Linked DNA regions of Drosophila melanogaster. Changing the gene in region 1 together with any one later gene gives a genetic interaction. Each region holds a gene or a part of one and is shown on either strand. Other genes may lie near its edges. The genes, in order: Wwox and Sod1.

Region 1 (8,702 bases):
CCAATCATTCAGTCTGGCTTTAACAACTCGCACAGCCACATCGCGTTTGCCTCTAAAAAAAAAAAAAAAAATATATATATATATATATATATATATAAAGTTCGTTCTGTGTGTTGCGTTCGAGATTAACAAAAAGAAAATTACAAAATGTGGCGCTTGCTTTTGGCACTTTTGCTCGTGAGTTCGGTGTGCTGTGAATCGGAACTATTTCGTGATGACCTGAGGACCCCGGAAACGATGGCCTACATCAATGGACTGATGCAGCGGCGGCATCAGATGCAACAGGAGGCGCAGCAGCACATTCAGGCGATACCGCCTGCGGTGCCCCTTCAATCGCCCGGCCTTGTGAACGGCCTTGGCAACCAGAATGACCCTGCGTTGAATCGCATATCCGGCACTTCGGTGAAACCTTCCAACCTTCCGGCTGCCTACTCCAACGGCTATGTGGATCTGGCCACCTCTGATCGGATTGCGAACAGTGTGCTGAACTTTGCCAACATTCTGGGCCAGCATTTGGCCAACGGTAAAACCCAGATATACTCTCCCCTGAGCATTGTACACTCGCTGGCTCTGCTGCTCCTGGGCGCCAAGGGTCGCAGTTACGAGGAGTTGTCCACGGTCTTCGATATTCCGGACACGTCCAGGCTGCACGAACAGTTCGGCCTGATGCTGCAGGATCTGCAACAGCCCACCAGGGAGGCGATCTCCGCAGGACGACCGCTGACCGATTGGCGGGCGAGCAGCGCGATGAGATCCAATCGACGGGCCCAGCGACCCGGTGCTCATGAGGTGCACCTGGCCAATGGACTGTTCACACAGACCGGCTACACACTCAATCCCGACTACAGGTGAGCCGAGCAGCGGATAATTATCCGGCTGCAAACTGGAACTATAGCGATATCTGGTTGGGAATGGGTGCTGGGAAATGCCAAACGATTAGCGATCGCCTTGAGGTTTTACACCGTGAAAAACTGAAGGCCATGCGGGCTAAAGTGATCTCCTTTTCTGAATGCCAAGTGAGGGAAACAGGTTCATTGTACCAGCAAAATGATCTCACCCATTATCATCAAGCGTTTAGTGTCTCTTGATGGTGGTGCTCCAAAAGGAAGTATTTATTTTATATTCGAAGATAATATACAACGAGAAAATATTAGAATATATTTTTCTGTGTAGAAATGAGCGTGTAATTCCACTTATATTTATGAATCTTTAAAGCCCAAGCTTTCATTGAGAAATATATATGTACGTACGTACGTATAAAGTTTAGAATATAAATGGGAACCATTGACAAACAAATTTAGTAAGAACTTTTAGTGCGATTGTTTTTATGTAGAGAACTTGAATAAAATTAAATCGGAATTGGAATTGGAATTATCAGTTAATCAAATATTTAATTAGAAACCTTAGGTCAAATAGTAGGTACAATGAATTGCCAAAAATTTGGCAAATAAAAAGCACTGATAAGAATGGATTAACTTAAAAACATAACTAAGACATTTAATTATTTATTTATTCTTCAATTATAGCTGATCAAACATTGCAAAAAAAGCGGAAAAAAACTACTTTCCCAAGTTATTATTTAGCTCACCAGATATTGCAATTCCAACCCATCCCCAGTTCCCCAATACTATCGCTCCACTTTGCACAACGTTGTTGGCATACTAATAGCTGCGCCTTGTTGATTTATTACTCATGAGCTCCACTTTTGTGCAATTCCAGACGGGTGATCGTCGAGGTCTACGCCTCGGATCTGCAGATTCAGGATTTCGAGGGCAGTCCGGCGACAGCACGATACAATATCAATGCTTATGTGGCGCAGCACACAAAGAATCACATCGAGAACATCATCGCCAGCGATATTCCGCAGACCACCAGGATGATTCTGGCCAACGCATTGTACTTTAAGGCATTCTGGGAAACGGACTTTATAGAGTCAGCCACACGTCCGGATAACTTCTATCCGAATGGCGAGGGAACGGAGCCGGTGATGAGGGTGCAGATGATGGCCACCGGTGGTGCATATCCGTATCACGAGGATCACGAGCTGGGCTGCAAGATCATTGGACTGCCGTACAGGGGAAATCTGAGCACCATGTACATCATCCAGCCGTTTAAGTCGTCGGTGAGGGAGCTAATGGCACTGCAGAAACGTCTGACGGCGGATAAGATCGAGAGCATGATCAGCCGAATGTACAGACGGGCCGCTCTGGTGGCATTCCCAAAGATGCATCTTACGGAGTCGGTGAACTTGAAGACAGTCATGCAGCGAATGGGGCTGGGCGGCATCTTTAGCGCGGTGCAGAATGATCTCTCGCTCATCGCCACCAACGAGGCCACGAGGACGAATGCGCTGGGCGGCAACAGCCTGCAGAATCTGGAGGCACAGCGCAGAGCCGGAACGGGTGGAGCACGTTCCGATCTGGTGGTGGATGACATTGTTCACAAAGTGGACTTCACCGTCAACGAGCAGGGCACGGAGGCGGCGGCGTCTTCGGTCACATACCTCAAGAAATCCGGTCCCGATGTCCTCTTCCGCGGAGACACTCCATTCATGGTCCTTGTGCGCCACGATCCCACGAAACTGGTGCTCTTCTACGGACTCATAAATGAGCCCCCGGCGGCCGCTTAGTTTCTAGGATCATAAGTTATTAAGCTTTAGCACCTAAGTTCGTTGACTTTATAGTTAGGAAACTAATAAATCATTCACAATGATGAAAAATAAATTAAAACGTAAATTATGAAAATTTGTATTGGTTTTTGTTGCTGTTGAATCTTTTCACATTATCCTATGTACCGTACAGCAGGCAGATTAAACAATGCCCACAAATGTTCAAGGCGCTAAGTTTCTACAAATCATTTAAATTTAAAAAACAACCGCCAATCAACCGGTTGCGGTTAAAAGCTCTGTTAAACGGAGATGCTGATTATTAGCGGGTAACATGTTTCGTTTAACGGAACAGCTGTTCATTTAGTCGGCAGTTATCGCTTAAGCCGCATGTTATCGATATCTTCAATTATTTTGTATTCTTTTTCGCAATAAAAAGTGTATACTTTAGAAATAAAGCTTTAAATAAGTTTAAATTGATTCGAAATGATAGCCCTACCCGACACAGATAGCGAGGATGAGCTGCCACCCGGCTGGGAGGAACGTGCCACCGATGACGGCACCGTTTGCTATGTGAAGTAAGTCAAAAGTCCAGTGGAGTCGTAAACATTGTCTGATATTTTTTAATTGCACCATTTAGCCAGCAGGGAAAAACATCACAGTGGACACATCCACGTACGGGTCGCTCCAAACGGATCACGGGCGAATTACCCTTGGGCTGGGAGAAGTACTACGATGAGCAGGGAAAGCGTTTCATGTTCCTCAACAAGGAGACGCAGCAACGAACGAATGTGGATCCTCGTTTGGCATTCGCCGTGGAGGAGCCCACACAGAATGTGGCCCAGGTGCGCCAGCGATTTGACTCCTGTTCGACGGCACTGCAGGTGCTGCACGGCAAGGATTTGCATGGACGCACCGCGCTGATAACGGGCGCAAATTGTGGCATTGGCTACGAGACGGCTCGTTCGCTCGCCCATCACGGCTGTGAGATCATCTTCGCCTGCCGGAACAGATCCTCCGCAGAGGCGGCCATCGAAAGGATTGCCCAGGAGCGACCTGCAGCACGTTCCCGCTGTCGATTCGCCGCTCTCGACTTGAGCTCTTTGCGTTCAGTTCAGCGATTTGTGGAAGAAATTAAGCAGAGTGTTAGGTCAGTAGCATAGCTTTCAAAATCTAATATTATTTAATTGATAATTATATTTATATTGCAGCCACATTGATTATCTCATCCTTAATGCCGGAGTATTCGCACTGCCCTACACGAGGACCGTGGATGGTCTGGAGACCACATTCCAGGTCTCGCACCTGTCGCATTTCTACCTCACATTGCAACTGGAGACACTGTTTGACTACAAAACACGGATCATTGTGCTGTCATCCGAGTCGCACAGGTAAGTGTGAATTTGAGCACTTTAGCACGTAATTAGGGAGGGAGGGGGTAATAGAGTATACCAGTTACGAAATAATTCATATATATTCTTATGGTGTGTATAAAAGGTTACAAACTAACCGCTGAACTTAAGTTTTATATTTCGTATGAAATATCAATAGATCAATCTTAAAAATTAAGTATTCAAAAGATATATGTTAAAAAAGGTTACATGGGAAATACAAAATCAACTGGTTATATTTCGCACTATCAGTAAGGGAATTAAAAAGTTATTTACAATTCGATCGTATTGTTTCTTGTATCAATTTTACTATCAGTCACTGTCTCAATAGAAAATCGTCTCTACTTAAGTTAAATAAAATACATCGAAGCTTCAAAATATATAAATTGATGTATTATATATAATTTCTTAAACCTATTTTCTTGAATCAATTTGGCTTATTTCTTTCCTAATTAAATTTCTCAATGTCAGCACTGTTAATCTCGTTTTAATAATTATTATTTTTTTGTTTCTGTTTTTGGCCGGCAAACAGTTGTCATTATTGCAACCTGTTTGTGTGCAAAATGATTATTATCAAAATCACACGGGTATTTTAATTGAAGCTGAATTTGGTGCATGTCACATTCTAAAAATATATATATTTAATATATTTTTAATAAGGAATAAAATAAAATTATATACTTTATGTTTTAACTATCTTAATAACTTTACAATATTAATTTAATTTATTTAATGTAGTTATAAATTCAATAGCTATTTCGTATTCGACACCATCAGTTTTAAATGTGTGTCTGCCATTTCGAGTTGCCTTCTTTTATTTTTGCAAGTTGATTGCACTTTTATGATTCCGCATAGTGGACTTTGCACCCAGCGTTTTCTTTTTTTTCGCACTTTGGGGCCAAACTATTCATAGACCAAACCAGAAATAAATGCATTCCGCCTCAGCCATGCCGTCTAGTGTAATGTTTTCCAAAATGTTTGCCTATTTGCCTCAGATTTGTTTGCGTAAGATGTTTTCCGTTTGATTCGATTTCAAGGCGAAACGTAATTGAACTCAGCTTGGCATATATGAGTATATATTATTCATAGGCTTCGTTTACATATTGTGCTGCGCACTCAGAGGCAAACAAAGAAACACATAAATATAAACAATTACGAGGCCAACGCAGCTGGGTTTTTGTATTATCAAAACCAAAAACGTGCGTACAATAGAGCAATATGATCGAACTCACGTGCAGCTGTAAGCACAGTGGAGTAGAGAGCTCTGAAAATATGATTGTAATCTTTCTTTAAAAAATATCTATGAGATAAATTAACTAAACTGAAGAAAGTATTTTTGTTTTTCTTTTAAAACTAAAACACATTCAGATTAGCTACGCATATAAATCCAAGCAGAGTACTTTTTTTGTAAGATAAACTTTGAATGTTCAAAACTAGCATGCTTTAAATAGATACTATAAATGTAAAAAGTGCCCCTATAATTTTCCTTATCAGCGCTAACTCGCTTAATTAGATTGATTCATTTGTGGCCGCTCGAATGGCTCACTGTGCATGCTGTCAAAGACCAAATAAATCACTGGGTGAGCGAATCTCGTGAAGAGGCACAATACCAATTCAAACTGAACTGGATGTACATATGTATGTACATACATACTGGCTATTGGAGGTGGTTTTGTATCTGCTGCGTTCGTTGCTGTGCTCACGTACAACATTTTTTGGCTTCGCGGAGCATACATGACTATCTGCGAGTACTCCAATGTGGCGCACGAGACTTTTGTTGCACGTTCACACGGGCGAGAAAAAGATATGAATGTTGGTATGGAAGTTCGACTGGTTATCATTTTCAAACATTAAAGATTACTTACAATTAGTTATTCTTGCATCAGCTCACAAAAATTGGGTTATTCATTGTTGCATAGATAAAATATTTTTATTTAAGGTTTCTCTTTTTCAAATAATTATATTTTTGCGTGGGAAAAGTTGTCCAGACATTAAACAATTATTAATTCAATTAGAGTCTTAAGGTAAAGCAACGAGTTATTGTTCTAAAATTAAATGCCATTCAGCAGCAATTTATCTGTCTGTAGAACCTAATTAATTTACATGCAAACAGTCGAAAAGAACGCTTTTTTGCTTACCTACCACAACAAGATACAAATATACATATATAAAAAAAGAAAAAAAATGGAACGCCAACGGGTTTCATTTGTCATGGATGCCAATGGATACCCATACTTATAAATAACACTGAATTTGCATACATTTTGCGACGTTATATTTACATCGCCCCCAAGCCGAGCGCAGATATTCAATAAAATGAAAACAAATCCAAAGTCCAGAAATGTGCGCGCAGATATGTGTTTGTGTATAGAAATGTTTTCATGTTGCGGCATTCGTGGATTCGCAGGAAATGTGCGACTTGCGCATGCGCTACTGCCGAGGATTCCAGAGGCTTCCGCCGAAAACTGGAGATACATAGATACATAGATAGATAGATAGATAGATAGATAGATACATAGATAGATAGTTCGCCATAGAGTTCACTATGCATATCAGAGGGTCCTTGTTCGATTGTGGGGCTTTGTTCCGCCGGCCCCACTTGTTGACTCACGCCATTGTTCGTGGGGAGCCTTTGTGCGCCCTGCACTGCGCTAATTCTGCATCTCATTAATAAAGAGCGCTTAAAGCCGGCTATGCCAGCCGGCAATGGCAATCAAGACTCGTTTCGCGATTGTCGGCCGGCGGGGCCAAAGTCCAGTGAGTTCACTTGGACGAGAAATGTTCATGTGGGTCTCATGTACCGACAAAGAAATGCGTCGCAAATAATCTTAGTTACTAACTAACATGCAGATTTGCCAACCTGCCCGTGGAGAATCTGGCAGTGCATCACCTTTCGCCGCCGCCGGAGAAATACTGGAGCATGATGGCCTACAACAATGCCAAGCTATGCAATGTCTTGTTCGCCCAGGAGCTCGCCCAGGTGAGTCCTTAAATTGGGTCAATTGAATTCCACTTGCCAACCCTTTTTTTTTGTTTTTTTGTTGCAGCGTTGGAAGCAGCGAGGCATTTCTGTTTTTAGCCTGCATCCGGGCAATATGGTGTCCAGCGATTTGTCACGAAACTATTGGTTCTACCGCCTGCTCTTTGCCATTGTGCGTCCCTTCACCAAGTCGCTGGTGAGTTTGGCAATGAGAAGAACTCTCTGTTTTCCCTTAACTTTCACTAATTGCTTTCTGTGCCCCATATGGCAGCAACAAGCGGCTGCCACGAGTATCTACTGTGCGACGGCCAACGAGCTGACCGGATTGTCTGGACTGTACTTCAACAATTGCTTCTTCTGCGAGCCCAGCAAGTTGTCCAAAAGTGCTGCACTGCAGCAGCAACTGTGGAAGCTGAGCGAGAACCTGATTGCCGAGCTTGTGGAGCAGGAGCAGCATTAGCCAAGTCATTTGGCTACTGTTTTTTAAATATATTTATGCATTATGCTACCACCAATGATTCCATTAGGTATAATTTTACATTTTAAACCAGCTATTCATTACAAAGATATATTTTGAATTCTTTAATAGTTTCTGCCCAATAAGTGCAATGCAAATAAACTTTTGTACGTTAAGAATATCATGTATTTTCTTTTTACACTAAACAAGTATACATTTTGATTTGTTTTTAAGTCTTAATGGCTAGCATTTAAATAACAGTCTAAGTACTAGTTAAGGAACTCTTCATTTGGGCACTAGAAATCGGAGACGCGTCCCTTGCGCTCCCAGTCGCCGTAGCGTGTGGGCTCCGGCCCGGCTGGTCCGCCGATCTCGCCCGTATACGGATTGGTCTGATTGGGCCAGGGCTTGAGTGGTTCCTTCTCCTGGTACGGATGTCGCGAGAATTCATCCAGCTTGCCCAGCGGCGTTTTAGCGCGCAGCTTCTTCTGGAAGGCCATTAGCTTCTCGGTGCGCGTCTTTGGTTCCTTGATCTCGACCACCATGTCGCCACCGCTGGCGGTTGCCCGCCAAGCGCCACTCGTCGATAGATAGCTCACTGTTAATGAAAAATTGAAAGAACGTTAGCATCGCCACTCCAGCACAGTGCGCACACACACACACACACACACACACACACCTTGTTTGCCCATTTGGGGCAGGACTCGCGCCGTTTGTCTGGTCACGGATTGCATTTTGTTTTTTGTTTGGATTTCCTTTATCGGTTATGCAAGATGATGCCGGCGAATCTTCGTTTTTGTTCGCTTCTTAGTCGCAGTTACACTTTGTGTGTTTACTCAAAAGTCTCACTTTCGGCTGGGAGTCAATGTCACTTGCTTGTTGCTTCGCGTCTGAATTGCAATCTGCGAGGCTGCGTTTCGCTTTTATAGCCCGCGTTGCTTGTTTAGTTGCTTTATTTATTGTGCCATATGTTGTGGTGGCACTGAAAATGTACTAAATATAGCCATACAATACGCACAGCGGAGACGCACACCAGGGTGCATGACTGTGCTAGGCATTGAGCTGTAACTCTAGCTACATGCTATCTGGCAACGCTGGCTTTTAAATTTAAATCCGTTATTGAAAGAAAGAAACTGCGAAAAATATTGCAACTTTATTTATTTTAAGTGCATTCAACCATTTACTCAAGACATTTAACAGTTAGTTGCATTTATTTTTTATTACGCCTTAATGGTATAGTACTATCACACTTCTTAAAATCTATTGCAA
Region 2 (5,354 bases), on another chromosome or scaffold:
CACACCACAGACGCATGTGGAAGGAAGCGCAGCGAGCGGCGGCGGCGGAGGCGGCGGGGTTGGAGCTCTGCTTGCGCTAAAGAGGAACCATGTGATGGGCGGCGGGGCATCGCAGCATACGCTGCATCAGCAGCAGGCCGTGGCCCAGCAACAGCATTCAGAGATTATCTACGAGGAGTTGCCGACCGACTACAGCGGCCACATTGAGGCCAGCGAGGAGGAGTGCGTCACCACTGCCACCGATGCCACCGTGGCCAAGCGACCCAAGTATGTGTCGGAAGTGCTCTGATGCGTGCGGATCCAGAAGCACCGGCAGAACAAGGGCAAATAGTGAGGCCCATGGGTGTAAACGATTAGAAAGCAAAAACAAAAAAGTATCTCCATCTTGTATATTGAATTTGCCAATCAAAAACCTATACCTAAACCCCGAAATACAAATCAAATTAAATAGCCACACACGCAGAACTTAAGGAACATGAACGCACGCGAAGAGCAATGTATATGTAAATTGATATGGAACATTTTACAAATAGCAACTGTGAGATGATTGTGTTTGAAATGTTGGCCATGCAGCCGTTCAACGGCGGCGACTTATGCAAGCACACATTTTGAAAATTCGAAAACCCGATTCGAAGTAACGACTTTATCCCCTAGATCTGACGAATTCAATATGCTCGATGACGCTACTCTCTAAGTAATATAATAAATTTTAAGTTTACAACAAGGTAAAGCAGCAAACAAAGCAAAATTATCTAGATATATGCGATTGATTATTGTAATGATTGATGATTATGATGTTTAAGATGTTATAGCTATGTGACCGAATTGTGCGAGAAACGTGAAAAAAAATTTGGGGAAAATTAAGTAACAAGCAAGCAAACCACACAAGTAACAAACAAACAAACAAACAGGCGAATGAATAATATTACCTATCTACATACCTTTACCTATATCGATTTAAATATAATATATATATATATGTGTATATATATATATGTATATCTATATTAATATATATACAAATTATTAAAATACAAACAAAAACAAAAATGATGAAAATAAATAAGTAATATCTACAAATTTACGGATACAATAACAATATATAAAGATTGAAATGATAGCACATTATTTCTTATTAATGAAGAAAATCCCATTTAAGTGTTTGGACAAATTGTGTATTAAAAAAAAAAACAAAAATCAAATGTAAACTTTCTTGTTTCAATTTGTTAATATTTACCTGCTTTAATTGAATTAGATAGATGAATGAATACTAGTTGATACTAGTCAACAGGAGCGCAATCAAGTCTGGGCATTTATTGGGGAATTCCTGGATTCGTTTTTTATTTATACAAAACAAAGTAAATTGAATAGTTCCCGCCACTGTCATTGGAATAAATGGAAGGCTTCCAAGTGAACCACCCGTTCGTTGAACAGCTCAAAAAATTCAACGCCATTTGTGCAGTAAAATTGTTCCGTTTTCAAATTTTGTAATTTGTAGCTTTTATCCTTAAAAATGTAAATAAATGTCCCAATAAAACATGAGCTTGAAATATTACAAAGAAAAAATGCTTCCAGTAACGGCATAATAGTGTGAACGAAACTTTTGCACAACTGAACACTAACAGTAAAAGTTCCGCATGTATTTCTAAGCTGCTCTGCTACGGTCACACCATAGAAGATACCTGGAAAGTTCTCAACTTTTTTCGTTTTGATAAATTGATTAATTCATTCGAAATGGTGGTTAAAGCTGTCTGCGTAATTAACGGCGATGCCAAGGGCACGGTTTTCTTCGAACAGGAGGTGAGAATCCAAAATCATTTGAACTTCTCTGCTCGGCAAAATGTACGAAAAACAGAAGTTCTAAAGGTCAAATAGCCGGCTGCACCCGCGGCCCCCTCTTCCACTTCAATATGCTGCTTTAAATTCTGTCGAGCATTTTAATTAAGTCCGATTTGAGTTTACGCCTAGTCACCCAGCAAGTGCACCTTTATATTTATATAAGCCGCACCAAAATGCGCATATGTGTGTGCGCTCAAGTGCCTACAGCAAAGGTCACGAAATTGGTACTGGACATAAAAAGGAGTTAAGATATAAAGCTCACTTGTTCGTAAAGTATCGTTAAATATCAACAAATATTTGTTTTAGAATAAGCATTAGGAATATGGGAATAATTAGAATGATGCTGTTCATAATTAATTTGTACATCAAAGTCAAAGCAGCAATGTCAAGTGTCAAGTAAACGATTATAAACTTGATGATTACAGGTTATGTTTCAGTGCCGAGGAAATTTATGTTTTTAATCTATAAAGATAACCAAATGTTTACTTTGCTGCCTATAAATATTTCCGTTTAACGTGTGTCTATTAACAAATGTTATTTTCTATAATAACCTATTATCATATGAAGTTGGCCACGCTCGTTATCATAATCAGTGCTTCTGCTCACTATTATACACAACTTGTGTCTTATCAGTATTCGAGTATTATCTGAAGCGTTATAACCCAATCCCTTCATCCCGTCCACAGAGCAGCGGTACGCCCGTGAAGGTCTCCGGTGAGGTGTGCGGCCTGGCCAAGGGTCTGCACGGATTCCACGTGCACGAGTTCGGTGACAACACCAATGGCTGCATGTCGTCCGGACCGCACTTCAATCCGTATGGCAAGGAGCATGGCGCTCCCGTCGACGAGAATCGTCACCTGGGCGATCTGGGCAACATTGAGGCCACCGGCGACTGCCCCACCAAGGTCAACATCACCGACTCCAAGATTACGCTCTTCGGCGCCGACAGCATCATCGGACGCACCGTTGTCGTGCACGCCGATGCCGATGATCTTGGCCAGGGTGGACACGAGCTGAGCAAGTCAACGGGCAACGCTGGTGCCCGCATCGGGTGCGGCGTTATTGGCATTGCCAAGGTCTAAGCGATAATCTATTCCGATGTCGGCCACTGTGCTGATCTACTCTATTTAGCACTACCCACTGGAGATATACAAACGATATACATACTTCTAAACATAAATACATAGCCTGTGGTCTGTTAGTTGATACGCAACCTTTGAGGTTCAATAAATTGGTGTTTTGAAATTGCCCCATAAACAAAAGTTATAGTTTTCATTTGAGTTGAGATGGTAAGAATGAATATATCACTTGTTGCTCGACGAATTCGCAAGTAGAATCGGGTTATAGATTCGTATGAAATGAATTACATATTAGATGAGTGCAGAACCCAAAAATCACGATGAGACACACATTCGTTCATGTTTTGATAACATATCTCCGTTTTAGATTATTTATTTATTTTTGTAATTACTTTGGTTACTCTCCGGGCAGCCTGGTTAAAAGTCTTTAAAACACACTTTATAAACAATGAGTTAGGTAGTATTATTTACAAAAAATATTGTAAATCAAGATACTCGCCACATGAGTAGAAACTAATATTAATTTCGTGTGCGGTATAAATTCACTACAAAAGAACAAAGTCATATACTACGACGGGGATTTAAATGAACCTAGGTCTTGTTGAAATATGATTGGTAGACAATGCCCAGCGATGAAGTGGCGAATAGGGTGAAGTAGCTCCACCAGGTGGCAAAGCCCAGGAAACCCTTGTACACCTCCGTGGAGAAAACCTGAAAAAGAAATTATGATTAAAACTGGCATTGACGTGCACAGCAAGGATTCTTACGTTTTTCAGGCTGCTAAACGAAGCCTGCAGCGATTGCGCCGACTCAATAATATTAAAGTCACCATCTCCTTGGGAAACGGCAACACCAGCTCCTTCCGTTTCGCTAGCCGCACACTCGTGCTGCAGGACAACGCTCTCGCGGAAAATACCCGACCAGCTAAAGCCGCCCAGACTTTTGTACATAAGTGTGAGATAAAGGCATAGGATCAGTGGGGCAGCAAATTGCAGCGTCACAACACATAGATAGTAGAAAATAGACGAGATCTGTAAAAGGGAAAGGAGGATTTACTCGATGAACGTTTGTATAAAATAAAGACTGCCTCCACCTTCTGCTTGAACTCTACGTTGGTGATCCGACCGGCCTCCTTGCGCAGATCCATGATCTTGTCGTGGGCCAGATTCAGGTACGATTGCAGATATATGGGCATCAAGGCGAAACGAACCACCACCACAAAGATCACTAGCAGCAGGCGAAGTGTCTCAAAAACGTGTGGCTTCAGTCTGCAAAAATAATCGGGATGAACTTGTTAATTAGTAAAAACTAATTTAATGTGAGTAGGTTAACTCACAGTGGCTGTTGCATTCCTTGGAAGACGCGCACCGTCAGGTAATCGCGGCTAATGGGCCGAATCCACAGGATGACCAGAATAAAGGGCAGCACAAAGCTGAGATTCAGGAGCACTTGCAGCAACCGGTTGCCGCGACAGTACTTCAACGAATCCCAGTGCATCTTGGCCATCCGCAAGCCGGGGAAGGTGAACAATGAGCCGAGCAGGCCGCAACCCATGGCCAAAAAGAACTTGACCACGATCTTGGAGGCGGGACCACTGAAAAAATAAGAATAAGAGTGTAAATAAATAGAGATACGCGAAACAGGGGCGAACTCACGATGATGGCAGGCCCTGCTCGGTGAGGAACTTGGAAGCGCTGGCATTAAAGCTCGCATAGGCATCCTCCAGTCCCGTCTCCAGAATGCGCTCGTCAACGATCAGCACGACCATGGCCACCAGCAGGTAAACCAAACAGGCAACAATCACCATCGACCTCTCGCCGATGGACTCCTCGCTCTGGAAGTAGAGCACCGTAAGCGAGGACAGCAGCTTCAGGGCAAAGAAGATGACCAGCAGGCACCACACCATGCTCAAGTTGACCTCGTGGCGCAGCGGGTAGTAGAAGTGGAACAGCTGTGGAGGGGAATCCAAAATTAGTAAGTTATGGTATGCATTCCTAGAACTAGGATCACAGTAGTCGGATTTTCAGGCGAACAACCCGAGCTTTACCCACCTCGGAGACCACGTAGACGATCCCCGTGTAGACACTGAAGTCCAGCAGCCATTGATATTCGGTGAAGTAGCGCAGGTGGACAACATCCCGTTCCAACACCGGTGACGTCAACAGCTCCACCTCAATGCTGCGCGGTATGTGGAATTGTGCACCCGCCGCTCCTCCTGAACCATTTGCCTGCTTATTTCGACCACCTTTTGGTGGCTTCTCCTTGGGCACACCGCCGCGGGACCGCAGCTCATCGTCCGTGGGATGCAGGTATCGATAGAGTCCGGTGCGGCACAGAATCCACTTGGCGAAGGAGTAGTGTGGACTCAACTTCTGGATAACGCTGACCATCACCAAGGTGATGACCAATTGGGCGCCCAGCACAGCCTGCAATGGT

Evidence for each region.
Region 2: of Wwox (region 1) and Sod1, changing one enhances a phenotype caused by changing the other (phenotypic enhancement), as found in Drosophila melanogaster (one study listed by BioGRID).

The regions. Positions count from the first base shown.
Region 1 is NT_033779.5:7,998,578-8,007,279, reverse strand, and holds Wwox (WW domain containing oxidoreductase), read left to right. Parts: upstream 1-2,993; 5' UTR 2,994-3,091; coding exon 3,092-3,183; intron 3,184-3,245; coding exon 3,246-3,755; intron 3,756-3,816; coding exon 3,817-3,996; intron 3,997-6,846; coding exon 6,847-6,976; intron 6,977-7,043; coding exon 7,044-7,172; intron 7,173-7,247; coding exon 7,248-7,436; 3' UTR 7,437-7,610; downstream 7,611-8,702. Other genes in the region: Spn28Dc (serpin 28Dc), read left to right, coding at 148-848, 1,720-2,629; Sirup (Starvation-upregulated protein), read right to left, coding at 7,730-8,031, 8,113-8,167. UniProt on the Drosophila melanogaster protein: Putative oxidoreductase. May control genotoxic stress-induced cell death. May play a role in TGFB1 signaling and TGFB1-mediated cell death. May also play a role in tumor necrosis factor (TNF)-mediated cell death. May play a role in Wnt signaling.
Region 2 is NT_037436.4:11,110,020-11,115,373, reverse strand, and holds Sod1 (superoxide dismutase 1), read left to right. Parts: upstream 1-1,633; 5' UTR 1,634-1,734; coding exon 1,735-1,800; intron 1,801-2,525; coding exon 2,526-2,921; 3' UTR 2,922-3,093; downstream 3,094-5,354. Other genes in the region: FoxK (forkhead box K), read left to right, coding at 1-289; emei, read right to left, coding at 3,510-3,629, 3,686-3,949, 4,012-4,186, 4,255-4,512, 4,574-4,869, 4,970-5,344. UniProt on the Drosophila melanogaster protein: Destroys radicals which are normally produced within the cells and which are toxic to biological systems.